Macaca mulatta: one gene and its partners. The protein of the gene in region 2 interacts with the protein of the main gene of each other region in a biochemical or structural test. Links are inferred from orthologs where the notes say so. Each region holds a gene or a part of one and is shown on either strand. Other genes may lie near its edges.

Region 1 (10,214 bases), on a different chromosome or scaffold from region 2:
GCCGAGCGTGGTGGCTCAGGCCTGTAATCCCAGCACTTTGGGAGGCTGAGGCGGGTGGATCACGAGGTCAGGAGATCGAGACCATCCTGGCCAACACGGTGAAACCCCATCTCTACTAAAATACAAAAAATTAGCCAGGCGTGGTGGCAGGCGCCTGTAGTCCCAGTTACTCAGGAGGCTGAGGCAGGACAATTGCTTGAACCCGGGAGGCGGAGGTTGAAGTAAGCCAAGATGGCGCCACTGCACTCCAGCCTGGTGACAGAGTGAGACTCCGTCTCAAAAAAAGAGAGAGAGAAAAAAGAGAGTGAAAATGAGAGAGAGAGAGAGAGAGAGAGAGAGAGATTGGACAACCTCTGCAAAAACCTTGACCACACTCGCGCGTACTTCAACAACATATGACTTGGGGCACATGCCTTGTAATTACCCAAGCCCACCCTTATAAAGATAACCACTGTTAGCTAAGCTTAATGGTAATTACTCCAGTTTCCTCTGCATAAAACTAATTATTTCTACAGAAATAGGTCATAGTACAACATCTTGAGTTTTCTGCAGAACGATATGCTACAGACCTACCTAATTTTAAAGATAATTTTTAAAAAAGAGACGGCATTTTGCTATGTCGCCCAGGCTGGTCTCGAACTCCTGGGCTCAAGTGATCCTCCTGCCTCCCAAAGTGCTGGGATTACAGGTGTGAGCCACCGTGCCCAGCCTCACCTCATTTTTCAGAGCAGCTACATAGTATTGGATTGTATGGATGAACCATAGTTCATTTAACCCATCCACTAACAGCCATTTGGACTGTCTCCAGTTTTGCCCTGTGACGGACAATGCTGCATTTTACATCCTCGCATCTCTCTCTTTGGGACTGAGGATCCTTTTTAACATTCAACCTTTTTATCTGACGTTGGTCGTGCTTTGGGGGCCAGGCGAGTGAGTTGCCACAGCCTAACAGGAGGCTCTTATATCCTCAGCAAGGCTCCACTGTGCATTTGTGAGGTATTCTGATGCCCGCTTCTGCACCACCCCACGTCTGACAGGCAATCTTGGGGGTGTGGGTGGGCTGGCACTCTTGCAGGCTGTACAGAGTGAGGCTGTGTGGAAGGCCTGTGCCCAGCATGTATCGGCAGCTTGGCCTAAGGGAGAGCTGGAGGTGCTGATGGGGGGCCTTCAAACTCCTGTGAGACTGCCTGTCCACCTCTCCTGGCAGCCTCTGGCAGGCGGTGTGCCCAGTGCTGGGGGACTCAAACCTTTCCCTGCTCCTCTAGCCGAGGGACAGGGGACAAGTGACTTAACACCTCTGTTTCAAATTCTGCCTCTGTAAAATGGCCATGATAGGCATTTCTCTTCACAGGGATGCCAGGAAGATGAAGTGAGATGAGGCAAGTTTGGCACTAAACAGTGTGCACAGCTGGAGTAAGCCATCAGTAAATGTTAACCGTGACTATAACGAGCTGACCCCTACCAGCCACCCAGTTACGGAACACATCACACTCCTTCATGCCCCCAGGTCTTTGCACAAGCGATACCTGTCGTGTGGATCACCTTTTCTCACCTTGTCTAAGAAAATTCTAAGTCACTCTTCACTTATACTGTGTCTGTATCTTGGTCTGACAGCTAGACCAGCCTGTGGATTCCTCCAGGGAATGGCCTGGCTGGAATCTTCTTTGACCCAGAAAGTTTTTCTCTGTGCTCCCACAGTGCCCTGAGTTTCTTTACTTTTCTTCCTTTTTTTTTTTTTTTTTTTTTTTTTGAGACCGTGTCTTGCTCTGTCGCCCAGGCTGGAGAGCAGTGGCACAATCATGGCATGCTACGGCCTTAAACTCCTGGGCTTAAGCAATCCTTCCCCAACTCAGCCTCATGAGTAGCTGGCACTACAGGCATGTACCACTGCACATGGCTAACTTTTAGATTTTTTGGGGCCTCCCTACGTTGCCCAGACTGGTCTGGAACTTCTAGGCTCAAGCGATCCTCCTACCTCAGCCTCCCAAAGTACTGGTATTACAAGCATGAGCCACTGTGTCTGGCCTGAGTTACTTTCTTTCTTTTTTACTTTTTAGAGAAAGGGTCTTGCTGTTTTACCCTGGAGTGCAACGATGCAATCATAGCTCACTGCAGCCTCAAACTCCTGGGCTCAAGCGATCCTCACGCCTCAGCCTCCTGAGTTATTGGAATTACGGGCATAAGCCACTGCACCTGGCCCCCTGAGTTACTTTTATCATCACACTGTGAGATAATTTTTTCCCATCACTTGTCCACGAGATCTGTGCGTTCCAAGACCAAATGGGATACCTGTCTCTTCCAGGCCCAGGACAAATTTGGTTCAGAAGGGATGGCAGGCAGTGGCGAGGAAGGAGGAAAGTTTGGGAGGGCAGGCCTGGACTTGAGGCTGGAAACGCTTCTCTGACAATCCCCAGAATCCGCCTTTCCCCAGAAAGCTGCACTGGGTGGTGTGAGGGATTGGGGCAATGAGCCGAGGGCCGTGGGGTGACTGTCTCCCCTTTGCCACCTCCCCCCCTGCGGGCTGTGGAACAAGTCCATCTCTCTCCTCCCCTCCACCCTTTCGCCCATCTCACCTGAGCCTCCTGCACCTTCCCTGCCTGGGTCTCCAGAGGGTGAGAGGCTGAGGGAGGGGAGCAGAGGTGGTTACAGTGGGGAGAATGATTAAGTGGGGAATAAAGGGATTCAAATGGTCAGTGAGGGGCCAGAACACCCACCAACCGAGTTACACTGGGATGGGATGGTGGTAAAAATGGAGCACGGGGAGGGAGGGGGCGGAGAAAAAATCTTATCAGCATGCAAAGTGATGCCAGGAGAGGTGATTAGTGAGGGGCAGAGAGGCTGGAGAGGAAGATTTAGAAGGAGAGGGAGAAAGTAGGGGCTTTTGCCCAGGCTGATCTTGAACTCCTGGGCTCAAGCGATCCAACCACCTTGGCCTCTCAAAGTACTGGGGTTACAAGCATGAGCCATTGTGTCTGGCCCTGACTTACTTTCTTTCTTTTTTACTTTTTAGAGAAAGGGTCTCGCTCATGTCACCCAGGCTGGAGTGCAATGGTGCGATCATAGCTCACTGCAGCCTCAAACTCCTGGGCTCAAGCGATCCTCCTCCTCCTACCTAAGGGATTCAGGGCATGAAGGAACACTCAGGAGGAGTTAGGAAGGACACGACAGTGTGTCAGTGTGTGTGCGGGAAGGGTTAGATTTACAAGGCAGAGGGAAGTTTAGAAAGGAAGAGAGAAGGGAAGGGACGCTTTGGCTGGGAGGCAGGTTTAGGAGGGAGGTGCAGTGGTGCAGTGGAGGCGGTAGGTTTAGGAGAGGCGCGGAACAAGGGGAAGCCATAGAAGGGGACAGCAGGGGTCCCTCAGCATCCTCTGGTTGCCTCTAACAATCAGGTACCCTTAGCAGCCGGGACCGGGGCAACTTATGTTCTTTGCAGCGAGGGTCCTTAGCAACCAAGGTGTGAGAAACACGCGATCATTGGCAACTTGGCAAGTGGATGTGGTAAACGAACCCTGAACACCCTGCGACCCAGAAACCCACCAGCCTGGCGATATAGATCGCTTAGCAACAACCCTCAGAACCCCACTCCCCGAGGCGCTCCCTACTTCCCGCCCCACTGCGGCCGCCCTTGGGCCCCGGGGCCTGCAGCCTTCAATCAGGCCCCGGCGCGGCCCGACCCTCCCACCCGGATTCCCGACTCACGGTCCGGCTCTGCCATGGGCGCGGTGCTGAAGCCCTCGAGGCTGTCACCGACCGCTCTGTCCCGTCACCGACCACTGTGTCCCGTCACCGACGGCTCTGTCCTGTCACCGACTGCTCTGTCCCGTGACGGCACCAGAAATGGGAGTGGCCGGGATAGGGCACTGAACTACAACTCCCAGCAGACATTGCGGCCGCAGACGCGCTTTCCTACGACACCCGGAGCGCCCCAGTTAGGTAAGAAAGCGCGCGAGGACCGGACTACGAGTCCCAGAAGTCATGGCGTCAGCAGCCATGTTGGTAAAGGGCGCCCGGAAAATGTGGGAACGGCTAGAGAGTCGTAGTCCTCTCGAATACTCTGATTGGTCAGCATGCGGCACGGGGGCGGGGTGTGAGCGATTCAGCATATTATCATTGGATGAATCAGGGGGCGTGGTGGGGAATTTCCCGCAGGGCGGAAGCGCCAGAACTCCCGGCAAAGCCCAGCTACAGGCGGGCCACTGCGAGGGGCCCCTGAGGTGGCGGGGGCCATGGCTGGGGTCGCGTGCTTGGGAAAAGCTGCCGACGCAGATGAATGGTGCGACAGCGGCCTCGGCTCCCTGGGTCCGGACGCAGCGGCCCCCGGAGGACCGGGATTGGGCGCGGAGCTGGGCCCGGGGCTGTCGTGGGCTCCCCTCGTCTTCGGCTACGTCACTGAGGATGGGGACACGTGAGTGAACTTTAGGCTGCCAAACGGAGCCTTAGGACCCGGCATCTGATTCCCCATTAGTGTCTGATCCCTGAGGCTTCCTAACCTCACACTCCTAAATCTGACTTCCGATGCTGAACTTCCTGACCTCTAACCCCCGAGTCCTAACTTTTAACAAAACCAATCTTCTTTCCAGCTATGATCCTCACCCAATCATTTCTGACCTTTTCCTGAACTATGATTCTCAGCTCCTGGAATCCACGTTGTATCCACTGATACCCAAACCTGACTCCAGTCCTGAGACTTTTGTTAGAACTGTGGCTTCTCCTGACTTCTAACCTCCAAATATGATCTTTGATTCTTAGTTCCTGATTTGAGCCTTAAAGTTTGATTTCCAAAATTAATGCTTGGTCCCTTACTCTAAGATCCTGTCATCTGAGCAGTGTTCTTCAAATCTTAAATTCAAAGAGAGAGAATGTAAGCTCTTCTATGTTGAATTCCTAATTAAAGTAAAAAAAAAAAAAAAAGGAAAATAGAAAAAAAGAATGTAAGCTCCACGAGACCAAGGATCCATCTGTTAAACAAATATTCTTTACACAGTACAACATTCCAGGCTCCGTTTTAGGTGCTAGTGATAAAGGCAGTGGAGAAAACAGACAAAAACTTAAGCGCTTGTGGAGCATACATTTTAGTGGAACTAAATAAACAGATAAGACCGCAAGGAAGGAAAGAAACAGAAAGACAGGAAGAAACAAAGAAAGACACGCAGAAAGAAAGAAACATAGAAAGTAAGAGAAGGAAATAAAGTCAGAGGTAGTAAGTACTTTGGAGAAAAATAAAGCAGGAAAATGAGGCAATAGATAAACAGGATAAGAGCATTTCAGGGAGAAGGAACTGCAGTTGCAAAGCCCAGATGAGGGACTGTACTGGGTTTTTTGTCTGTTGTGTTTTCTGCTGTATGCCCAGTGATGCAAGCAGTGCCTGACCCAGGAGGCACTGAAGAAATATTTATCTTTTCAAAGAACCAGCTTTATAATCTTGTTAATTTTCATTACATTTCATTACTTAATTTTGGTTTCTTTTTTTTTTTTTTTTTTTTTTACTTTTTATATAATTAGTCTCTGTCCTGGCTTTTTTTTTGAGACAGAGTCTCGCTCTGTCGCCCAGGCTGGAGTGCAGTGGCCGGATCTCAGCTCACTGCAAGCTCCGCCTGCCGGGTTTAAGCCATTCTCCTGCCTCAGCCTCCCGAGTAGCTGGGACTACAGGTGCCCGCCACCTCGCCTGGCTAGTTTTTTTTTTTTTTAGTAGAGACAGGGTTTCACTGTGTTAGCCAGGATGGTTTCGATCTCCTGACCTCGTGATCCGCCATCTCGGCCTCCCAAAGTGCTGGGATTACAGGCTTGAGCCACCGCGCCCGGCCGGTTTTTTTGTTTTGTTTTGTTTTGTTTTTTGAAATGGAGTTTCACTCTGTCGCCCAGGCTGGAGTGCAGTGGCACCATGTTGACTCACTGCAACCTCCATCTCCTGGGTTCAAGCAATTCTCCTGCCTCAACCTCCCCAGTAGCTGGGATTACAGGTGCCCACCACCATGCCTGGCTAATTTTTGTGTTTTTAGTAGAGATGGGGTTTCACCATGTTGGCCAGGCTGGTCTCAAACTCCTGACCCCGTGATCTGCCTGCCTCAGCCTCCCAAAGTGCTGGGATTGCAGGCATGAGCCACCATGCCAGGCTGTTCTGACTTTTATTATGTTCATTCTTCTGCTTACTTTGGCTTTAATTTGTTCTTCTTTTTGTAGTTTCTTAAGGTGAAAGTTGAGATCATTGATTTGAGACCTTTCTTTTTTCCTCTTTTCCAGTATAGGTATTGAGTGCTATAAATTTGCTCCTGACTATTGTTTAGCAATATTGTTTTAGCAATATCTCTCAAATTCTGGTATGTTGTGTTTTTATTTTCATTTAATTCAGTATGCTTTATTATTTTTTTGAGTTGGAGTCCACTCTGTTCCCCAGGCTGGAGTGCAGTGGCACAGTTTCCGTTCACTGCAACCTTGTCCTCCTGGGTTCAAGTGATTCTCTTGCCTCAGCCTCCCGAGTAGTTGGGATTACAGGGGGGTGCCACCACCCCCGGATAAGTTTTGTAATTTTTTTGGTAGAGACAGGGTTTCACCATGTTGGCCAGGCTGGTCTCAAACTCCTTACCTCAAATGATCTGCCCACCTTGGCCTCCCAAAGTGCTGGGATTACAGGCATGAGCCACCACACCCGGCCTAATTCAGTATTTTTTTTCTTTTTCTTTTTTTTTTGAGACTGGAGTCTTGCTCTGTCACCAAAGCTGTAGTACAGTGGAATGATCTCAGCTTGCTGCAACCTCTGCCTCCCAGGTTCAAGCAATTCTCATGTTTCAGCCTTCCGCGTAGCAGGGATTACAGGCATGCACCACCACATCCGGCTAATTTTTGTGCTTTTAGCAGAGATGGGATTTCACCATGTTGGCCAGGCTGGTCTGGAACTCCTGACTTAAAGTGATCCACCCACCTCGGCCTCCCAACGTGGTGGGATTACAGGTGTGAGCCACCACACCCGGCCTAAAAATATTTGTATTTCTGTCTGTCTGTCTATCTATCTATCATCTGTCTCTCTCTCTCTCTCTCTCTCTATCTCTATCTATCTCTGTCTATCTCTGTCTATCTATCTACCTACCTACCTGCCTGCCTGCCTGCCTGCCTGCCTATTGACAGGGTCTTACCTAGGCTGGATACAGTGTCTCAATCATGGCTTACTGCAGTCTTGAACTCCTACCAAGCCATCCCCCTACCCCAGCCTCCCAAGTAGCTAGGACTACAGGTTTGCTCCACCATGTCTGGGTAATTTATTTATATCTAAAGGGTGTTTCTTGTAGACCATGTATAATTGGGTTTTGCTTTCTTTTTAATAGAGACAGGATCTTGCTATGTTGCCCAGGCTTATCTTGAATGCCTGGGCTCAAGCAATCCACCTGCCTCAGCCTCCTAAAGTGCTAGGATTATAGGCATGAGCCACCACCCCTGGCCTTTGCTTTTTTATTCAATCTAACAATCTCTACCCTTTTTTTTTTTTTGAGGCAAGGTCTTGCTCTGTCACCCAGGCTGGAGTGCAGTGGCATGATCATGGCCTACTGTAGCCATGACCTCCTGGCTCAAGTGATCCTTGCACCTCAGCCTCCTGAGTAGCTAGGACCACAGGCACATGCCACCATGCCTGGCAAACTTTTAAATTTTTTTGTAGAGACAGGGTCCCCCTGTGTTCTCAAACTCTTTTTTTTTTTTTTTTTTTTTTGAGACACGGTCTCATTCTGTCACCCAGGCTAGAGTGTAGTGGCACTGTCTCTGCTCGCTGAAACCTCTGCCTCCGGGGTTCAAGCAGTTCTACTGCCTCAGCCTCCTAAATTTGGGATTACAGGCGTGTGCCACCACACCTGGCTAATTTTTGTATTTTTAGTAGCAACAGCAGTTTCACCATGTTGGCCAGGCTGGTCTCGAACTTCTGACCTCAGGTGATCCACCCGCTGTGGCCTCTCAGAGTGCTGGGATTACAGGTGTGAGCCGCTGTGTGCAGCCGTGGTCTTAAACTCTTGAGCTCAAGCAATCTTCCCACCTTGGTCTCCCAAAGCGCTGGATACAAGGATGAACCACTGTGCCCAGCCAGTCTCTGCCTTTTAATTAGTGTTTAGACCATTTACATTTAATTTGATATTGATATGATTGTGTAAATTTATCCCATTTCTATTATATATATTCTATTTATCTATGTTTTCTTTTTCCTCCTTTTTGCCTTTTATTGGGTATAGTTTTTGTTACTTTTTTTCAATCCTGCTCCTTCTGAATAGTGTTTTTCATTTTTTTTTTTGTTTGCTTATTGGATATTCCTCTTTTTGTTATGTTAGTGGTTGCTTTAAGGTGGGGGTTGGCAAACTATGGCCTCCAGGCAAAATCTAGCCAGCCATCTGCTTTTGTATGGTTATGAGCTAAGAATGGTCTTTACATTTTTAAACAGTTTCTAAAAATCAAAAGAAGGATAATGTTATATGGCAAGTGAAAATATATAAAATTCATATTTCAAGCTCCATAAATAAAGTTCTTTTGGAATGCAAGCAAGCTCATTCATTTACATACTGACACAGCAGAGTCGAGTAGTCAAAATAAACCATATGACTGCTGGGCTTAGTGGCTGACGCCTGTAATCCCAGCACATTGGGAGGCCGAGGCGGGCAGATCACGAGGTCAGGAGATCGAGACCATCCTGGCTAACACGGTGAAACCCTGTCTCTACTAAAAATGCAAACAATTAGCCGGGCATGGTGGCAGGCGCCTGTAGTCCCAGCTAATTGGGAAGCAGGAGAATCGCTTGAACCCAGGAGGCGGAGGTTACAGTGAGCCAAGATCACGCCACTGCACTTCAGCCTGGGCAGCAGAGCGAGACTCCATCTCAAAAAAACAAAACAAAAACAGAAACAAACAAACAAACAAAAAACAGAAAGAGAAACTATTGACTTATAGACTAAAATAGTTATCTGGCTCCTTACAGAAAAAATTTGCTGATTCCTGCTGTAGGGTTGATAGTTTACAACTTTAAGTTATCATGGGCTACCTTAAAGTGAAATTATGCCATTCCACATAGAGTAAAAGAACTTTATTTTATTTTATTATTATTATTTGAGACGGAGTCTCACTCTGTCGCCCAGGCTGGAGTGCAGTAGCACGATCTCGGCTCACTGCAAGCTCCACCTCTCCGGTTCAAGTGATTGTCCTGCCTCAGCCTCCTGAGTAGCTGGGATTACAGGCACGTGCCACCATGCCTGGCTAATTTTTTGTGTGTTTTTTGTAGAGACAGGGTCTCATCGTGTTGGCCAGGTTGGTCTCAAACTCCTGACCTCAAGTGATCCATCTGTCTCAGCCTCCCAAAGTGCTGGGATTACAGGTGTGAGCCACCGTGCCCAGCATAATGAACTGTTTTAATATTCTTGTTTGCAAATTCTAACATTTGTGTCATTTCTGGGTCAGTTTCAATTGATTGATGGTTCCTATTATGGATCATATTTTCCTGCTTCTTTACATGCCTGATAATCTTTGGTTAGGTGCCAGACATGGTGAATTTTTTTTTTTTTTTTTTTTTGAGACAGAGTCTCGCTCTGTTGCCCAGGCTGGAGTGCAGTGGTGCGATCTCTGCTCACTGCAAGCTCCGCCTCCTGGGTTCACACCATTCTCCTGCCTCAGCCTCCCGAGTAGCTGGGACTACAGGCGCCCGCCACCACGCCCGGCTAATTTTTTGTATTTTTAGTAGAGACGGGGTTTCACCGTGGTAGCCAGGATGGTCTCGATCTCCTGACCTCACGATCCACCCACCTTGGCCTCCCAAAGTGCTGGGATTACAGGCGTGAGCCACCGCGCCCGGCCAACATTGTGAATTTTACCTTGTTAGTCTGGATAGTTGTGTATTCCTATAAATATTCTTGAATATTATTCTGGGGTGGAATTAAATTACTCAGAAGTAGTAGTTTGAGTCTTTCAAGTTATTGCTTTTATGGTTTGTTAGGTGGGTGTTGAGCAGTACCCCATCTACAGCTAATTAATTCCCCACTATTGAGGCAAGTATCCCACCCAATAGCCTGTGATTATGTTTTTCCAGCCTGGCTGGTGGGAACACTCACGATTCCTGGCCCCGTGTGAGTAACAAGCACTTTTCTGAAATCCTTTTGGATGGTTTTCCCATCCCCACAGACTCACGGGCATGGCTGGTCCGTATTCTCCCGAATACGCAAGAGAACCTCCCCCAGGAGTCTCTCCTTTGGCAA
Region 2 (9,722 bases):
CTCGTCTCTACTAAAAATACAAAAATTAGCTAGGCTTGGTGGCACAACACCTATAATCCCAGTTACTCAGAAGGCTGAGGCAGGAGAATTGCCTGAACCTGGGAGATCAAGGCTACAGTGAGCTGAGATTGCGCCATTGCACTTCAGGTGACAGAGTGAGACTGCGTCTCAAAAAGAAAAAAAAAAGAAAGAAAAAGAAAAAAGAAAGAAAGGGATACTGAATATTCCCAACACAAAGAAATGATGTTTGAGATGATGGATATGCTAATTACCCTAATCTAATCACTACACAGTACATGTATTGAAACATCACTATTTACCCCATGAATATGTACAATTATTTGTCAATTTAAAAAATTAGGCCAGGCGCAGTGGCTCACACCTGTAATCCCAGCCCTTTGGGAGGCCAAGACAGGTGGATCACTTGAGGACAGGAGTTCGAGACCATCCTGGCCAACATGGCGAAACCCTGTCTCTACCAAAAATACAAAAAAATTAGTTGGCCATGACGGCACACACCTGTAATTCCAACTGTGTGGGAAGCTGAGGCACGAGAGAATCACTTGAGTCTGGGAGGTGAAGGCTGGAGTGAGTGGAGATCGTACCATGGTACTCCAGCCTGGGTGACAGTACAAAACTCTATCTCAAAAAAACAAAACAAAAAAAAAAAACTTAAAAGCATATTAACAATTTTGTTTGTTTTTGACACAGAGTCTCTCTTTGTTGCTCAGGCTGGAGTGCAGTGTTGCGATCTCGTCTCACTGCGGCCTCCACCTCCCGGGTTTAAGCAACTCTCCTGCCTCAGCCTCCCGAGTAGCTGGGATTACAGGCATGCACCACCATCCCTGGCTAATTTTTGTATTTTTAGTAGAGATGGGGTTTCACTATGTTGGCCAGGCTAGTCTTGAACCCCTAACCTCAAGTGATCCACCTGACTCCGCCTCCCAAAGTGCTGGGATTATAGGCATGAGCCACCGCACCTGTATTAACAAAATTTTTAAAAAGAAATACCAAACTGTTTTTATAACCGGAAGTTGATCCTTTTCATGTGAATTCCAAATGTCACAACATGATTGCCAGTATTTCTCTTATTAAGAGACTTCTCTTTAATATAAATCTTTTATGCTTAAAAGGGGAGTAGGGAAATCTTCAAAACTGATATGGATTTACAATACAATTATACTACCTGAGACTTTCCATGCCTTCCCAGTTTAGGCATATTTCACACTATGACAGCTGCCATTTATAGCAACAGCAGAAACTTAGGATGAAAAATCCTATAATGGACATCTACTTTTACACAGGATATTAGGATATGTCATCATGGCATCCCACTACCAAAGCTCCAGGCCAGAAGGGAGCAAAAGAAAAAAGAGGAAATACAACCTAAATTTATCTTTTTGTTCACTAATATTTAATGAGTACCTACTATTGGTAGGTACATACTGTTGGTACATAATATTAAATGTGTTGTGGTGGTAGTAGTGGGTATACAAACTGAGTACCTGATGATCCTTGCCCTCCAAACAGTTATAGTCAAACAGAAGGTATTAAGATATACTAAGAGAACTAAAGTACCAGGCAAAATGTGATAGGTGTTATAATCAGCGTAAAGTATCATACACTTGGCAGTAGGAAGCGGGCACTTCATAAAGGAGGCACTACTTGAGCTAAACTTTGAAATGAAAGAAAGACTGAAATGGGAAAGGACTGAAAAATAAGTTCCTTTAGGCAGAAAACAAGGCGAGCAGAAGCAGAAAAGTAGAAAGGGATGGGCATAATCAGACAATACAGTTAATCCAGTTCAAATGTACCTAAAATGATGCTCTCTCGGGGTATTAGTAAGAGGTAAGTCCGGAAGTATAAATTGATATGAAACCAAGATAGGTTCTGAGTACCAATGAAAGGGTCTGAACTTTATTCAATAAGTGAAAGAGAACTATGCAAGCCTTTCTAAATTGAGAACCTGGCAAGCTCAAAATTATTAAGATATTCAAAAGATAACTTTATAAAATAATTGGATATATCGATTGAAGAGAAAGGAAGAGCCAAGACAGCCAAAGTTTCCCATCTGGGTAACTGAAAAGGTGACAGTGCAAATAAGAGGTGTAGGAAATCTACAGAGGTAGATTTAATGGGGCCAGGTGCAGTGGCTCATGCCTGTAATCCCAGCACTTTGGAAGGCCAAGGTGGGAAGATCACCTGAGGTCAGGGTGTCAAGACCAGCCTGGCCAACATGGTGAAACCCCATCTCTACTAAAAATATAAAAATCAGCCAGACATGGCGGCGGGCGCCTGTAATCCCAGCTACTCAGGAGGCTGAGGCAGGAGAATCGCTTGAACCCAGGAGGTGTAGGTTGCAGTGAGCTGAGATCGTGAGACACAGTGAGGCTCTATCTCAAAAACAAACAAAAAAAAAGAAGTAAATTTAATGGATAGAACAAATATGTTCAGTTTTTAATAAATTAAGTCTTAAGTGCTAGTGGAACAACCAGATAGTTATACAGTTATACGACAGTTATAAGTCCTTGGTGGAAACGTCTAAGCTATGGAGAGAAATAACTTTAGGAGTTATCCATGTGCAGTTTATAGGTAAAGCTATACAGCTGAAGAAACTGCCTAATAAAAAAAAGGAAATGTAATGGAAAAAGAACCAAGAAGAGACTCAGAATACAGTTACATTTAGGGGCATGAAAGAGGAGGCAAAGAAAAAAATAATTAAATGTTGCTGTTTCACCATTATTTTTAGTGGTAGGTTCAGTACACTTTTTCCAACTCTTCAACATATTTAAAGATTTTCATAATAAACAGTTGAAAAATATGCATACAATCAGACTTGCTAAGCTGTTTTTTCAAAAGGGAAATAGTAACTGTTTTGTTGCTTCCTTTTTTAAGTGAAAATCAAACAGACATCATTCCTTTCTTGTACAATACATATAAACATTTTAGGAAAATGTTCTACAGTAACACCAAGCTGTTTTGTAGTTCATACTTCTGTACTTTTGCTCATGATGCTCTGCTGCCTATAAATCTATCCCACCCCCACCCTTTTCCTAAAAAATCTCATTCTTCAAAATTCAGTCTTATTATCATGTCTAACAAGCATCCTTGAAGTTTCTTGAACTACTATAACTAGTACCTTATATATACCTTATTCTGTATAACCTCATAATAATATTGGTTCTTTGAGGAAGATATTACTGTCCTTGAGATAGACAGACAACATTTGCTCAGGTTCACAGACAGGTAAATAGTGGTGCTGCAAACTGAATTTAAGTCTGTAAACTACAAACTCCATAATGTGGAATCTTTCCCCATGCCCTATAACAAGAGGCTCACAGATGCCCTTCAAAGCAGAAATGATGCTATAATTCCTATGATGAGTATGAAACAAATAAGAGATGTGATTCATTCACAACCGAAATGTTTCAGAGGCAACATAGAACTAAAGCCCTGCTTTCCTAACGCACTAAGGGATAATTTATTCTTTGGCACAGTAGAAAGAAACCAAATCAAGAAGAAGCTAGGTATCTTTTCAGTGTTAGCCAAGAATGACATCCACATGGCCTCAAGTTTCTATTTAATAAAGTATGCCAAGATCGGGCACGGTGGCTCACATCTGTAATCCCAGCACTTTGGGAAGTCAACGTAGGAGGATCACTTGAGGCCAGGAGTTCAAAACCAGCCTGGACAACACAGCGAGACCCCATTTCTACCAAAAATTTAAAAATTAGGCAGGAGAGCTGGCGCACACCTGCAGTCCCATTTACTCTGGAGGCTGAGGCAGGAGGATCACGTGAGTTCAGGAGTTCCAGACTAAAGTGAACTATCTCGCCATGTACTCCAACATTAAATGATTATAATTTCTCATTTCAATTTTAGAAACCTGTATACTATAAACTATCAATAAAAATGTGAAGACTATTATGAGAGTTGTTTCTGGGTACACTGCCCAACAGAACTATCTATAGCTCTCATTCATATCAATAAATAATTTACTAAGAACCTGATACATGCCCTGCTCTGTACTGACTGCCATGGTTAGGATGGGTAGGGTGGGTGGTTGTTAATAAAAGTAGTAAAACAATCCCAACATTGAAGAAGAAAACAATCTATATGAAGATGCATGAATGGAAGATGAGAAATAGAGAATATAACCTTTAAATGACAAATTGTGTGGCAGAGACCATTTAAAGAAAAGTTCTTGAAGACATGCCAGTGTAGGTGAGGAGATAGAAATGGATATCATACTAGGCAGAAGGATAGCATCTGTCAAAGCATAAAGGTAGATAATGGGTTTGAGGTATAAGGAGCAGTGACAAGCTGGTCTTGTATGAGGTAAAGGTTAAGAGAGGCAGGTACAAGGCAAAACTTGGTTAGGGAAAGCCCCCTAAAAAAGCCAAGCAGATCAGTTTACACTTGACTTGTGAAAAAAAAAAAAAAAAAAAAAAAAAGAAGAACTATGTTAGTTTCTTGGGCAGAAGAATAAAAAAGCATTTTCAGAAGATGAGATAGGTAGTACATATTGAATTAACTATAGGTTAGGGAGTAAGTGCAGAACCATGAAAGGCAGATAGGAACCTTCCTTACCAAATCAAATCCAGTATGACTAGACATAAATGAATGAGGATAATGGCAACAACATGGGAAAAGGTAAATTAAAAAGTTGCTTCAAAGGAGTAATCAACAAAGACCACAGAGAAGCAAACTGAGACAGCTTGCTAAAGAAATTTTTTTTAAAAATCAGCTCTAAGAATATAATTTTCTTTTTTCAAATACGCATCAGCGCTGGACGCAGTGGCTCACGCCTGTAATCCCACTTTGGAAGGCCAAGGCGGGCGGATCACCTGAAGTCAGGAGTTCAAGACCAGCCTGGACAAGGTGGTGAAACCCTATCTCTACTAAATATACAAAAATTAGCTGGGTGTGGTGGCATGCACCTGTAGTCCCAGCTACTTGGGAGGCTGAGGCAAAAGAATTGCTTGAACCTGGGAGGTGAAAGTTGCAGTGGGCTTAAAACGTGCCACCGCACTCCAGCCTAGGTGACAGAGCGAGACCCTGTCTCAAAATAAATAAATAAGTAAGCAACAGGAAAAGATTATTAAACTATATTTATGCTAACTTTCCAAATAAACTTGTTAATTTCAATGCTGGTCTTATGCAGTAGACCCATTAAGACTAACCTTCAAATTCAAAATGTGATCCATTAGTACAAAACATCTTGGCTGCTTCAAAGTAAGGTCAACAGGTCCTCCTCTCTGCTGAGGGTCCCAATTCAACATCAACTGTAGCCAGTTTTCCATGGGTTCTACTATTAAACTAGAAAACATACAAAATAGGGTGAAAAGCAAATCATTATGTTCCAATTTCCCTTTATACTGTTAGAAAGGTAATTTTGTAGGTTGTCCACTTTCTTTCCCACATCACTTGTCTATACCATTTCATAACTTACTTTCAAATTCATGAAATGACAGGGAACAAACTTTTTTCCATCAAAAACTACTCAAAACTCCACGTTAGTTACTGACAACTCCAACGGATGAGTCCAAATCCATTCTGCAAAGAACCCATTTCCTTCATTATCCGAAGAACCTTCTTAGGACCTATGTCAATCAGTTAAATGGCAGTTCTTGTTTCCACTAGATCTGTGCTGTCCGATATGGTAGCCACTAGTCAGTCCCAAATGGCTATTTACATTTAGTATTTATTCAAAATTCAGTTACCTAAACAAACTAGCTACCCGTCAAGGAGTCAATAGCCTCATGTGGCGAACAGAGATACAGAAGGTTTCTACATCATCACAGAAAGTTCTACTGGATAATGCAACTTGAAACAGAAAACTACTCTACTGTTCCTTTACAACCCTGGAGAAACTGAGGCAAACTTCCTTAACTAAAATATACTTACCTACAAAGGCTATTTGGTTGAGGTAAATGGCTACTAAACCGAACTTCTCCTGACATCTCTTCACATGCAAATATACACTTTGGATCCTTCTTCTTAATCTTCTCATGCCTATAAAATCAAAAGCTACCTCAGCTGACAAAGTGATTCTCACAAATACTCTTAAGATTTCTTGCCATTTAATTATATTCAATTGTATATTTCAAAGGCAATTAAACAAAGAAAAAAAAAAAGCAGACAAATGAAAATATTTCCATTCCCATTAAGCATGCCCAAGTTCTCATCCATTTCTTACCAGGTAAATGGCTGCAGATGATGCAAAAAAGGCCTATATCCAGCAATACATTCAAATACCATGGTCCCAAAGCTCCAATAATCAACAGTGGCTGTGTAAGGCTTATTCTCAAAGAGCTCTGGGGCCTTCAAAAGAGAAAATGTTTTAAACACCAACACTGTATGGGAAAAACTACTTTATTTTTGAACTACTATATTCATGATCTTCAGAAATAAGAGAATCCTACACACATTTAAATTCAAAGAAACAATACAGGCCTCACCAGATACTGCAGTGTTCCCACAAAAGATGTACACAGACTTCCTTGATCAACATCTTTGGCATATCCCAGATCAATTATTTTATGTATTATCTGAAAAATAATAAGACAGATTAAGTATTAAATGGTAGAGAAATTTAAAAAGGAAAGACAACAATATCCTTATAAGGCTATAGAGAGGGTGGTGGTGAGGAGCTTAGGCTCTGTAATATCACAAAAATATTTCAAGTCTGAGTGCCACCACTTAACTAGGTGTGTGATCTACCAAGTTATTTAACCTCTCTCAGTAATCTAATTGGACGACTAACAGTCCCTACCTCACAGAATTGTTATTAGGATCCAATGAAATAATGAAAGTAAAGAAGGTAATACAGTGCTTGGTACACGATAAAAATTAAATACAGGTGGGCTATTAATTTTTATTTTGCTATATTCAAAATAAGCTCGATCCATTAAACTGGAAAGTAAAGGCAAGGCTGACTTCCAAACTTGAAGAAGCATCATACCCCCTTAGAGTGGATTAAATGTGAGTAAATACTGAGATCTAACTTCAAGAATGTCCTGAAGTCTTTGGATAAAAAAAAAAAAAAAAAAAAAAAAGCAGAGATATTTGGTGCCAAGCATACACGAAAGGCTCCTAAGAGAAGAAGCATCACGAAGGTTCCAACACCCCCACGAGACCAACAACTATCTTCACTACCTGAAAAGACAGCACACACAACTCAACCCAAGGCGCAGACTCTTGGCTTTTAAGTCTTTACTGGAATGAAATTTGGACGCTGGAAACAAGAAAACTGCTTAAAAGTTACTAATTAAATGAACATTTTAAGAGTCAATTCACAATTTCTGGTTCTTCTCCAGATAACTCATCTAAATTGGGGGAAGGAAAATAAGTTTTAAAAATATACATACTTTCTTTTTTTCTTAAAGTGAACCCAGGATGTGTGTGTATGTGTTTTGGATGTGCTTCATAAGAATAAAATAGTAAGTGTTAACATATTATGTATTCACTGCCAGTATCTTTGCTAGATACTATGCTGGAAAAACAGACATGAACAAGACAGGTGAAGTCTAGGAGCTGCGTTAAGTATGAAAAAAAAGAAAAAGAAAAAGAAAAAGAAAAAAAAGACAGGTGCAGTTCCTTCTTTAATGGAACCACTGTTTAGCAGAAGGGACAAAAAACTAAACACAAAACTACAGTTCAGTGTGGTAAGGTCTGAAATGGAAAAAGTAAGAGTGTTACGGGCATACAGCAAAGACACCAAAGCTCAAGGACTAACTATATCAGACAGACTATATTCAATAGGCATGAAACATTACTTCAGGTTTCACCTACCTTTCCACCAACGTCCTGAAGAACTATGTTTTCAGGTTTTAGATCTCGATGTATAATTTTGTTTTCATGCAAATATCGAATCCCAGACCCTAAATAAAGTTTAAAATACACTTTGAAGTAACAGAAAGCATTGAGTTAAAAGAAAAATTCACCTCACATTTTGTACAAATCTGCTCTGATGCTCAAGTTTATATGGATCATCGTAACTACACAACTAATATTACAGTAGTTCAGGTTTTCTTCACAGAAAAACGTAACATTAAGCAAATACTACAAAATTATACTATATGTTCATCTAACTCATTAGAATTAACATTAAATAGAAATGCAACAAGCAATTGGGAAAATCCCTGTAATTCTAATAAGCCCCCTTCTCCCACCTAAATCAACCATTTAAATTGGACTTTAGCTCTCATGACCTTGGAAAAGAGGCAAAACCAAAATCTACGCGGAAACAAATTTTTGGTTTTTGAGGTTCCTCCAAAAGGTTAGGTACTGGTTATTTTAGGAATTTTTCTGGAGTCATTCTGATTAAGCAGAGATTTTTCACCCCAAGAGTTGACTTGGCCGGGCGCGGTGGCTCACGCTTGCAATCCCAGCACTTTGGGAGGCCGAGGCGGGCGGATCATGAGGTCAGGAGTTTGAGACTAGCCAGGCCAACACAGTGAAACCCAGTCTCTGTTAAAAATACAAAAATTAGCCAGGCATGGTGGCGGGCGCCTGTAATCCCAGCTACTCAGGAGGCTGAGGCAGGAGAATCACTTGAACCTGGGAGGCAGAGCTTGCAGTGAGCTGAGATCGTACCACTGCACTCTAGCCTGGGTGACAGGGCTAGACTCCGTCTCAAAACAAACAAAAAAGAGTTGATTTGAGGACCCATCTCTCAAGGAGATGCAATTCCACTGTAAAAAAAATTACTATGTCAATGGTGTGGGAGGAGTGAAATTGAGTAAGGTCATTTTGCATGATTTTTTTGTCAGCTATTGGAACACCTATTAGATTAAAAAAGGACTCCTAGCCAAAAATAAATAAAATATCCTAGTTTGTGTGTGTGTGTGTGTGTGTGTGTGTGTGTGTGTGTGTGTGTGACAAAAGTCTCACTCTGTTGCCCAAGCCGGAGTGCAGTGGCCCAATCTCGGCTCACTGCAACCTCCACCTCCTGGGTTCAAGCAATTCTCCTGCCTCAGCCTCCCGAGTAGCTGCGACTACAGGCATGTGGCATCATGCCCAGCTAATTTTTCTATTTTTCTTTTTATTTTTTTGAGACGGAGTCTCGCTCTGTCGCCTAGGCTGGAGTGCAGTGGCGTGATCTCGGCTCATTGCAAGCTCTGCCTCCTGGGTTCACGCCATTCTCCTGCCTCAGCCTCCCAAATAGCTGGGACTACAGGCGCCCGCAACACACCCAGCTAATTTTTTGGATTTTTTAGTAGAGACGGGGTTTCACTGTGTTAGCCAGGATGGTGTCGATCTCCTGACCTTGTGATCTGCCCGCCTTGGCCTCCCAAAGTGCTGGGATTACAGGCATTTTGTATTTTTAGTAGAGATGGAGTTTCACTATGTTGGCCAGGCTGGTCTTGGACTCCTGACCTCGTGATCCGCCCACCTCAGCCTCCCAAAGTGCTGGGATTACAGGCGTGAGCCACCGCACCCTAGGATATAAAAATATCCTGGTTTTAATTTAGCATCAACAGTAATAGATTTATATGATAACTTCTTATAGATGCTGAAATTCTATAGACTTTGTACAGTGTATCAACAATTCTCCTGAATTCCCAAAAAGGTACAGAATCTTTTATGGACCAAAGGGGCATTACATCACAATGGTATTTTAATACTGATTACATACCTATATCACTTAGTAAAGAAAGTATCTGGCTTTCTTTAAGTCCACAACAATTTTCTGGTTTGTTGAGCAGCTAAAAAAAGAA
Region 3 (10,217 bases), on a different chromosome or scaffold from region 2:
AAAAAAAAAATCCTGCTTCAGGATTAGTTCTTTCATTCCCTGGCAGCAGAGCACAGTGAAGAGTCTGGGTTTTATAGTTCAGGCTCTGCCATTAACTAGATGTGTGGCCTTGGGCAACCCACTTGGCTTTCTTGGGCCACCATTTTCTCTCCTGCATTTTCTCACTGCAAAAAATGTGAATGATCATGTCCAGGCTGTAATCCTAACAGCTCTTTCTGGACAGTGAGGTTAAGGTTATTTAGCCATGCCAGCAGGAAGTGACTGCTGGTTGGTCCAGATTGATGGAGTATGGGTACAGGGGCTGGGTTGGTGGTCTGCCAGAGATAGGGAACAATATTACTTGCAAGAGAATAACCGTTCCTCGGCTGTAGCTTCATTAAAGTCAAGCGCTCCTTGTACGTGGTCCTGGACATTGCTTATAGATGTCCCTGGCCATAAGCGGTCAAGTTCAACACCAGCTGCACTAGTCCAGAACAGTGTCTGAAGAAAATCTCTGCCTTAATGGTCACCTGATAGTGGTTTTAGCGGAAAGAGGGTCAGGAGAAGCTGTAGTAGCCAGAAACTGGGAGGGAGGGATGGCTCAGGAGTTCCCCCTGCTGCTTCTTTCTGGGTCCAAACCCTGGTCCTAGAAGTGTAGACAACTGAGGTGGTGGCAGGCTTGGGATTCCTGAAGCTTCTTGAAATCCAGGGTTTAATCTCACCTTTCCAATCACTGGAGCTCTGTAGAGCCTCCAACTCAGGTGGTTGTAAAGGAGGCAGGTGGAAAAGCGTTCCTAAAAGGTTTTTCACACCAAAATAGGGTTTGTCGCTCTGCTCTCTGCCAAGGGATTTCCCAGCTCCCTGGGGCCAAAGCTCCCCTCCTGCTTCTCTGCTGACTGTCACTGGAAGCAGGCCATTTTCCACCCTCAAGGTGGCTGGACTCAGGAGTCAGTGACACTGCTGATCTGGGCTCTGTGCCCTGTCTACGATCCCCCCTCCGCTGTCAGCCCGCAGGCCCCAGAAGCCTCCTGTTTGCCTCCTGCCCCCAGCCTCCTAGCCCGGGGCTGGGATGAGGGTGATTTGTGGCAGAGGGCTCCTCACAAAGGTCTGCTCAGGACTTTCTCTGCAACTGTGCTGGGGAATAAATCGCCTGTCACCTACACCCCTGCACGAGTGACTCACCTTCCAGAGAAAGTGCTCTGCTCACCTAAGCAAAGCTGCTTGGAAAATGACTAAGGCACCTATCAAATGCACTCTGTGGGGTCAACCAGTTATGGAGCAAGGTCCAGGCACACTCTGCCTCTCACCTCCAGCTTGAAGTCAAGTGCAGAGCTGCCACGCCAGGCCTGCTGGTTTCATTTTCATCTGAACCCAGCTCCACATGAGGCTTGACATCCGGTGATCTATTTTTTCTAAAAACTAGCTTCACTTTAGAAATGACTCTTCGGCCATCAAGTCAGCTTCCCCAAGAGAAAACAAAATGTTATTTAAAGGGAATGGCAGCCTGGTGAGAGCCTATATTTTTGTTTTGTATTAAGGGGAAAAAAGACTTTAAAATATAATATGAAACTGGTTTTTTTTTTTTCCCTTGTGAGATTAAAACAAATGTTTTTCTTTTAAGAGATGGGGTCTCGCTATGTTGCCCATAGCTACTTGACCTCCTGGGCTCAAGTGATCCTCCCGCCTCAGCCTCTCAAGTAGCTGGGACTACAGAAACACACACCACCATTCCAGGCTTCCTGTGAGATTTAAAGGGAAATCTGCAAGTCCCTGACTGCAGATCCTGGGCTCCCAGACACAGTCCTGGAGAGAAGCTGCCAAAGACATCTTTATGAGAGGGAAAGGACGGCGAGCTGGGGATGCCATGTGGTAGCGGGAACCTCACTCCTCAGAACCAAATGTTCCCTCCTAGTCCCCCAGACAAAGAGCAAGTCCTTGCTGACCTACATGCCATACAGTATTTTCCCTTTCCTCACCTCCAGGGTTAATGCAGGAACCTACTTGATCACATGTGGGACGCAGGAAGCCCCTAGACAGGCCCAGCTGTGTCTCCAGCTCAGAGTCAGGATTGTCAACTGGGCAGAGCCTGGACCTTTGTAGGCTTATTTGGAGTATGGTGAGGACAGTATATAGTGTAAGGCAGGGAGAACACGACAGCTGACGCTTTTAGACTGAAGAACTGTCCCCCTAAAAGTCCTACTGAGAAAATGACTCTGGCCTGTCAGGCAGTCTGACTCTTCTTGACATCATCTTACAGAAAACAGGTTTAGTCACAATGCATTAATTGGCAACTACTACTGCTACTATCACTGCTACTATTACTACTACTACTACTGCCACCACCACCAACAGTAACAACAACAGCAACAGTTACAGTCGCTGTATTCTGTGCCGGGCACTGGGCTCAGCACTTTATATATGTCCTCTCATTTTCTACTCAAAACACTCCCGTTAAGTATTTCTGATTCCATTCACAGATGAGGCACCTGATGATTAGAGAAGTGAAGTGATTTGCCTGTGGGCACACAGGCAGGCAGTGGCAGACCTCGACCTGACCCAGGTCTCTCTGACCTGACAGCCTCAGCCACCACATGTGACACGGAGACACCAAGGACTTGTTCTGTTGCTCTGGACAAATCACGGGCTCTCTGCCTTTGTTTCTACATCTGGAAAATGGGCACAAGCACACCTGTCCAGACAGCAGGCTATTCCTCTTTTAGCCTTTTATTAATTAACAATCAATATCAATTAACAATTGACTGGTACAATAAATAAATAAAGCTGCTAGCCTGGTTTCGTTATATTCAAAACTGACATGTTTTGGGGGAGGAAAATCCTTACCGTTTCATGAGCAAGTTAGTAGAAAAAGCAGTGACCTAGATGTCAGGAAAAGGGGGTTTAGATTCTGAGCAATCCTGTCTATTTCTCCTTATGAGGCTTCACTTTTCTGATCTTTGTCCCTGCCCTTCTTCACATGAGCATTGTGTGAAAATAGAAAGACTGGCTATAAAATTATTCTTGATGCCACATAATTTCAAGGGATTTCTATCAGGGAGCTGAGGGATTAAGAGATGTAGAAAAGCAAGAAGGGAAGAGGCTCCTTTAGAACACAAAGAGCACACCGGCCACTGAAGAAAAATGACTTTTTCTGCATTGTCATTCAGGCAGTCATAAGCCTAGAACGAAAAATCTCATACTTCGATGTCCCGCTCAGTTCAACAGAAATGTTCCCCTACAATTTGCCCTGGGTCTCGCCTTCCCCTTCTGGGCTACTGCTTTCAGCATTTTAGCCAGCACCACAGAGTAAATGCAAAACCTTCACACATGCATCACTTTGAATGCCCACCCAGCTCTTGCAGATGTTCCGCCCCATTCTGTTCTCTTACTAGGGAATCGTGGTGTGTGGAGACTAGAGGGGCTGACATCCTTAGAGCTCCCTAAATCCACTGACATGGAATTGTCCCTGGCCCATCAATTTCACACTGGTGCCATCAACAGTGCCCATAATGCTCAGATGTTTCCAGTTTAACTGAAATACTAAAATGGGGCAAACAGGAAGCATCAGACACAACTGCGGTAGTGACTTATTAATCACGAAAGCAGAATTTTAGTTGCATTTTAACCTTTTGCCAGGAAAAAAAAAAAAACAACCTTGAGATGATGGAAGCCATCAGTAGAAATATGCTGCCTGTATGCATATTGGGCTGACTTAGACTTTTTACTTAGGACTGACTTTGCTTTTAAGATTTCTGAACTTTCCCCCCAGAAAGCACATCTGTCAAACCAACCAATATGAATCTGTCAGCTCTTCACAGGGGCAGGCAGGCTTGTTAGGAAAGCCCATGCGCTGTCCATTGAGACAGGAAAAAAAATAGGAAGTTAAAAGTGCCTTCACAGGCCAAAGTGATACAACACTGTTCAGAGGGTGCCAACAACGAAGAAAACAACCTTGGATAAAGCTTTCATCTCTTTCACATCTCCGCAGATCTCTCACCAGACCCTGGCCAGGGATGAGCTGTTATCAATCACCAAAACAAAACAAAACAAAAATCACAACAGTGGCCTAGGGCTGGACAACCAACCAGCGCAAGTCATCTTCTCAGCAGTAAATGATATACACATATTCCAGGCAGATCACAAAGGAGTCAGTGTTCAACAGGAGAACCAAAATGAGGAACCAAACCTTCATCTGTTGAGGCGAAAAGGCCCAACCAGACATTTTTGTTTAATAGAGGGAGACTGATTTGGCAGGGTCTCTGTGGTGCCGCTCCCACAAACCCTTAACAGACAATACCAGTGACAAAAAACCCCCTTCAGAACTGCTCCTTATAATCAGAAAACACTCAGAAGATGGCCTGAAGCTTGGCAGCGTCTTGCTGTCTGATTTCACAAAGAGCTGGTACATACACCTGGGTACTTATCTCTAAAATTAGAGTCAGAGATGATTACTTTTATTTTGAGATCTTCTGAGAGTTCTCCACACCCTTCAAAATAAATGAGGATGTCCGAAAGGTGTCTGAAAAATTCAGAGGTCTGGCATCGCTCCAAAGGAACTGATTGATATCACTTAAAAAACACCAAGAGTAAATCCAAACACAAGCGAAGTAAGGCAAGCACTTTTTACCTGTCCTCTCACACTGACAGCATAAAAACCACACCAAAAACTTCTCCCTCCTGTCTGCATCTCAGTTCTATAATGTGGTCCTGATCTAGGATTCTGGGGAAGACCCATCCTTAGTCCCAGCTATGAGGCATCAGGCAAGATACATACCACTCCCACTCCCCTCATACACACCTGCCTCAGGTGCCTCACTTATAAAACAGGACACTACAATCTGTCTTACCACACAGCCATCTGAAGGAAAACAGAGCTCACAGGTATGAAAACACTAAGTAAAAAACACATCACTAATGTTAAGATACTGTCTCCTTCTAATCTTTCAGAAAGACCATGTTTCTAGTCAAGGGGTTTTCAACATTTTTCCTGGAATAAACTCCAGACTGCTATTTTATACCATGACCTTACCCTGATCATTTAATTTCACGTGCTTTTAGGGTCCTTAGTTAAGTCATTGGTGTTCATTGTCTCCAGTGATCAAGAGTAGTTTTACCATTTACTTTGCTGATGTATGTACCTTTCACCACTTATCCTCTGCCTCATTCATACCTCCAGTCTACCCTTTAGGGCCGAGAGCAACTTTTTAACCTCGACTAGGAAGGAAACACTTTTTCTGAAATTAGCCAGCATTAAGGAGGCTCCCCGGCAGGTGGGAAACTGTACAAGTGGCCCCTGTCTGCCTGGTGCCCGGTGGTTGCAAGATGCCAGGGCCACGATGGGTTTCCAAGATGGGAATATTACATCTGAACCAACAGATAAAGTCCCGAGTTGGAGAGCCTAGAAGAATTACAGAGGAGGACTGGGTTCAGAGGGCGGAGGGGGGATGCTGCGGGCGGCCAGCACTGCCCCGCTGCATGCTGAGGACAGGCTTAGCTCGTGCTCCCCGCCTTGAGGTGTGACCTGAGAACTCCCCAGGAAAGACCACGAGGGTTTCACGCCAGGGCAGATGCGAGGGCGCACTCCTGCAGGAGACACGTCCGCCCCACGCCAGGCGAGCTTCATCCTGGGGGCGCTGGGGCGCAGAGCAGGCGGGCGGGCCTGGCGGCGGCGCGGGGCCCTGGTGAAGGGGAAGCAGGGCGCCCCTGCGCGCGCTCGGAGCCAGCGTGTGGCCAGCAGGAGTGCGCGGCCTGGAGGCCCGGGGCGAGCGCGGCGCCGGCAGCGCGTGCGAGGCCGCGCCCGCGGACCGCCGCGAGTGGGTTGGACGAGGTACGTCGGACTGCGCTGGCCCGGCCGCCAACCCCACTGTTCCGGGGCGAGGGGCCAGGCCGCAGGCCAGCCCGGGGCTGAGGGGCGATCCATCCCAGCCGCTCCCTGGGCGCCTCGTTCCGGGCCCCAGGGTCCCGCCCCGTCACCTACCGGCCAAGCGCCGATCTCCCCAACCAAGCGAGTGTTGCGCTCCGCTCGCCCGCGATCTCCCGCCGCCGGCCGCCGACCGCTGAGCTCCCGGCCCGCGGTCGCCCCGCCCCGGTCCCGGGCTCCGCCCCCTCGCCTTCTCCACCGCCCCCGGGGCCACGCCTCCCCCGGCGGCTGTAACTTTGCCTCGCTTCGCACCTCCCTTCTTTGGCCGCACGGCGACCTGTGGCCCCGCCCATTTCCCCAAGCCAGCCAATGAGACGGCCGTCCCGGCAAGCCCGTCTTCCCGCTCCCTAGCAACGATTGGTTAACGAGGCCTGGTTTCCAGAAATGGGCACTATTTCCGGGCGATGTTTGTAGAGGGGAGATCGCTGGGCGGGCGGACAGAAGGCGGAGGCGACTAGGGTGTTGGTGGAACCACACATGCGCCCTCGGCTTCTGGCAGTCTTACCAGCTGCGTTCTTCTCGAGGTTACTGGAAGGAAGGGCGAGTGTGCGCATGCGTGGGCACTCCCTGCCTCTAACTTCGGTTACCTTGGCGACAGGGAGGCGCTGTCCTTCGTGGGTCGCGCGCGTCCCGCTTCCTCTCTGCTGCCAGGCGGTGGCGGCTGAGGCGGGAGGTGGTGGGGGTAGAGACGTTTTTATTGAGCTCTTATCGTGTGTTTGGTGCTGTAGAATCCCTGGAATGAATAAAGGTTACAGTGCCTGCCCTCGAGAAGCTTCGGGAGCAAAGGGCTTACAGGGGCCCGACCTGTGGGTTGAAACCCAGGTACAAAGAGAGCATGTGGGTGCGTGGCGTGGTATGACCGCTGAGCAAAGCATCTGCTTGACGAGTTTGCAGACCACAGAGCCGGCAAGAGGATGAGAGCTTGATGTATGCAAAGAAAGGACCTGGAGTTCAGAATATGCGTTGAAGTGTCAACAGTGCTTCTTTCAGAATGGGGGTCGGGGGTGGGGAGTAGGGAAGGTATGGACATTTTTTCTAACTTTTGCTCCTCTGTATCATCTAGTGTTTCCACACTGAACTTGTATTTTATTTGTAATAAATTCCAGGCCAGGCACGGTGGCTCACTCCTGTACTCCCAGCGCTTTGGGAGGCTAAGGCAGGAGGATCGCTTGAGGCCAGGAGTTGGAGAACGGCTTGGACAATATAGCGGGGACCTCGTCTCTGCAAAAAATAAAAGAATAACCGGGCTTGGTAGTTCGCACCTGCAGTCCCAGCTAGAGGGGAGGCTGAAAGTTTGAGGTTACAGTGAGCCATGATCGTGCCACTGCACTTCAGCCTGGGTGACAGAGTGAGGCAGTCTTAAAAAAAAAAAAAAAACCAAACTTGATTTATTTGCAAAATAAAAGACGTACTCCTACCCTAGGCATCCCACTTCCACGAAGGGTCCATGATAGGTGTGGTGAGTGGCTCTAGTCTGGGGATAGGCAGGCCCCACCCAAGGCTGTCTTGAAAAGTAAGGAACACTCCATCTCTGAAAGTGTTTGAGCAAAGACCACCATCTGCTTGAGACTACTTTGCAGACAGTCCAAAGCTGAAATCTTCTTTCTGGATATATCTGTGCCAAACAGTCATCTCCGCTGGGGGATAGGGAAGACCATTTATTTAGGCAGTGGTCAAAAACTCACAACCTGAGGGCCTCATCCACTCACCCAGGCCAGAAATATGCTTTGTTTGGCTGGCCCAATATTTTTTTAAATTTGAATTTGAATGCCTTAGAGCAGAGCCTACGATTCCTTACAGCTCCCGCCACTCTGTTTTTTACTCAACCATCTAACCTTGTGTCACCTGTCTGGGCCCTGGAGCATTTGAGGTTGTGGCTCCCACAGAGTCTGTGCTTTAGAGCCAAACAGTCTCTGGTGCCCACCCTGGCTCTGCCACTGACTAGCTGGGAGATGGCAGACAAAAAAGAAGCTGAACTGGTGGCCCCCAAATCTCTTTCCACCCCCAGGGTTTTGCATTTCAGTGACTCAAGGAGAGGCAGAGCTTGGCCAGATGTACAGGTTGGTATCGGCAAACTTGGATGCCCTTATTGTCTTTCCCACCACCTGTTTGCCTCTGGGCACAGCACTTCTCAGGAAAGATGTGGGCACACCTCCAGAGTCTGAGACGCTCCCTGGCTTGCCTTTGCCTTCTCTCTCTTTCACTATTCCTTCTTTAAAACACCCAGTGCCTCTGTACTTTGCCCAGATTCTCTTGACGCCTCTGGTCCTGGGTCCCCTGTACACTCCCACCTACCCTATCAAGATGATCTGTCTTTAAATTCATCCCTGAACACTAATGTGTATTAATCAGAGAGAGTGAACTGTGTTGACTCAAAACTGTTCGGCCAGGGGTGGTGGCTCACTCCTGTAATCCCAGTGCTTTGGGAGGCTGAGGCAGGCAGATCACGAGATCAGGAGATTGAGACCATCCTGGCTAACACGGTGAAACCCTGTCTCTACTGAAAATACAAAAAAATTAGCCGGGCGTGGTGGCGGGCGCCTGTAGTCCCAGCTTCTTGGGAGGTTGAGGCAGGAGAACGGCGTGAAGCCGGGAGGTGGAGCTTGCAGTGAGCGGAGATTCCGCCACTGCACTCCAGCCTGGGCGACAGAGCAAGACTCCGTCTCGAAAAAACAAACAAACAAACAAACAAACAAACAACTGTAACTCTGGAGAGGAAATGTCACATCAGGTTGCAGGAGAGGAACAAGCCACTAAACACTGGTAAGGAAGATATTCGGGATAGGCAAGGCGTCTCAGTTTCAGCTACTTTTCTGAGGTCTTTCCAAGCCCCACTGTGTGTGGGTGAGGTGAGAAACAATACACCCACCCAGAGTGAGCAGTGTGGTGTCTCTGAGTCTTGAAGTGCTTGCACCCTCTGGAAGGAGAGCTTTGGGACAAGATTATTTCCTCCCAGCCTAAGTCGAGACAACCTGGGAAAGCTTCTGGTCTTGAGTCACTTGTGCACCCTCAGCTCTGCTTTAAATACAAGAAATTGACATTTACAGGATGACTCACACCTGGAGTAGTGAACTAGGTTCTCAGTACTCAACAGTTTTCACATCCCATCCATTTCAGTTCTGGAAATAGCGTAAGACTGTGCTATTCCAAAAGAATCGCAGCTTGTTTTCTGATACTTTACAAAAAGTAAGCCCGACAGACTTAGAGTACTTCATGTGCATAACCTCACTGAATGTTCCCTCTAGGCCGGGGTTTCTCAGCCTGGCACCATAGACATTTGGGGTTGGATAATTCACTGTTGGGGGAGGGGGCTTGTATTAGTCCGTTTTCACGCTGCTGATAAAGACATAGCTGAGATGGGGTAATTTATAAAGGAAAGAGGTGTAATGGAGTGACAGTTACACGTGGCTGGGGAGGCCTCACAATCATGGCAGAAGGCAAAAGGCATGTCTTACGTGACAGCAGACAAGAGAGAATGATGAGAGCCAAGCGAAAGGGGAAACCCCTTACAAAACCATCAGATTTCATGAGACTTACGCACTACAATGACAATAGTATGGGAGAAACTGCCCCAGTGATTCAGGTATCTCCCACTGGGTCCCTCGCACAACATGGAATTGTGAGAGCTACAAGATGAGATTTTGTTTTTCTTTTTTGAGATGGAGTCTCCCTGTGTCACCCAGGCTGGAGTGCAGTGGTGCGACCTCAGGTCACTGCATCCTCCTCCTCCTAGGTTCAAGTGATTCTCGTGCCTCAGCCTCCTGAGTAGCTGGGACCATAGATGTGCACCACCATACCCGGCTAATTTTTATATTTTTAGTAGAGATGGGGTTTTGCCATGTCAGCCAGGCAGGTCTTGAACTCAAGTGATCCACCTGCCTCAACCTCCCAAAGTGCTGGAATTACAGGCATGAGCCACTGTGCCTGGTTTCAATATGAGATTTGGGTGGGGCCGTAGCCAAACCACATCAGGGCTGTCTTGTGCATTGGAGGATGTTTAAAAGCTTTCCTGGCCTCTGTCTACTACATACCCATAGCACTCCCTCATCTACCCAATGTGACAACAATAAATGTCTCTGGACATTGCTGGATGTCACCAAGGAAGCAAAATGGCCCCCAGTTGAGAACCCCTACAGTCTAACCTCATAGAATAGGTAGTATTACTGTCCCCATTTCACTGATGAGCAAACTGAAGCTCAGACAGAAGTAAGTTGCCCAGTGTCACTTTGCTGTGACAGGAGACCCAGGATTCAAACCATGTCTGCCTCCAGAGCCCCTGCCCTCCTGCATGCCGGACTCTGCAGAGAGACTTCAGGCTTCA

What was found. The genes of interacting proteins can lie anywhere in the genome.
Region 1: of the proteins of CHUK (region 2) and NFKBIB, one has a biochemical effect on the other in vitro, tested with the Homo sapiens proteins (2 studies listed by BioGRID). The link is inferred for Macaca mulatta from reciprocal best matches to the Homo sapiens genes CHUK and NFKBIB.
Region 3: of the proteins of CHUK (region 2) and MAP3K14, one has a biochemical effect on the other in vitro, tested with the Homo sapiens proteins (5 studies listed by BioGRID and IntAct, with this or other methods). The link is inferred for Macaca mulatta from reciprocal best matches to the Homo sapiens genes CHUK and MAP3K14.

Annotation. Positions count from the first base shown.
Region 1 is NC_133424.1:49,991,514-50,001,727, forward strand, and holds the start of NFKBIB (NF-kappa-B inhibitor beta), read left to right. Parts: upstream 1-4,177; 5' UTR 4,178-4,226; coding exon 4,227-4,405; intron 4,406-10,214. Other genes in the region: SIRT2 (NAD-dependent protein deacetylase sirtuin-2), read right to left, coding at 2,574-2,620, 3,700-3,715. UniProt on the Homo sapiens protein: Inhibits NF-kappa-B by complexing with and trapping it in the cytoplasm.
Region 2 is NC_133414.1:112,263,129-112,272,850, forward strand, and holds part of CHUK (inhibitor of nuclear factor kappa-B kinase subunit alpha), read right to left. Parts: intron 9,711-9,722; coding exon 9,641-9,710; intron 7,884-9,640; coding exon 7,795-7,883; intron 6,552-7,794; coding exon 6,462-6,551; intron 6,325-6,461; coding exon 6,200-6,324; intron 6,016-6,199; coding exon 5,908-6,015; intron 5,320-5,907; coding exon 5,184-5,319; intron 1-5,183.
Region 3 is NC_133421.1:69,685,707-69,695,923, forward strand, and holds the start of MAP3K14 (mitogen-activated protein kinase kinase kinase 14), read right to left. Parts: upstream 6,038-10,217; 5' UTR 5,954-6,037; intron 1-5,953.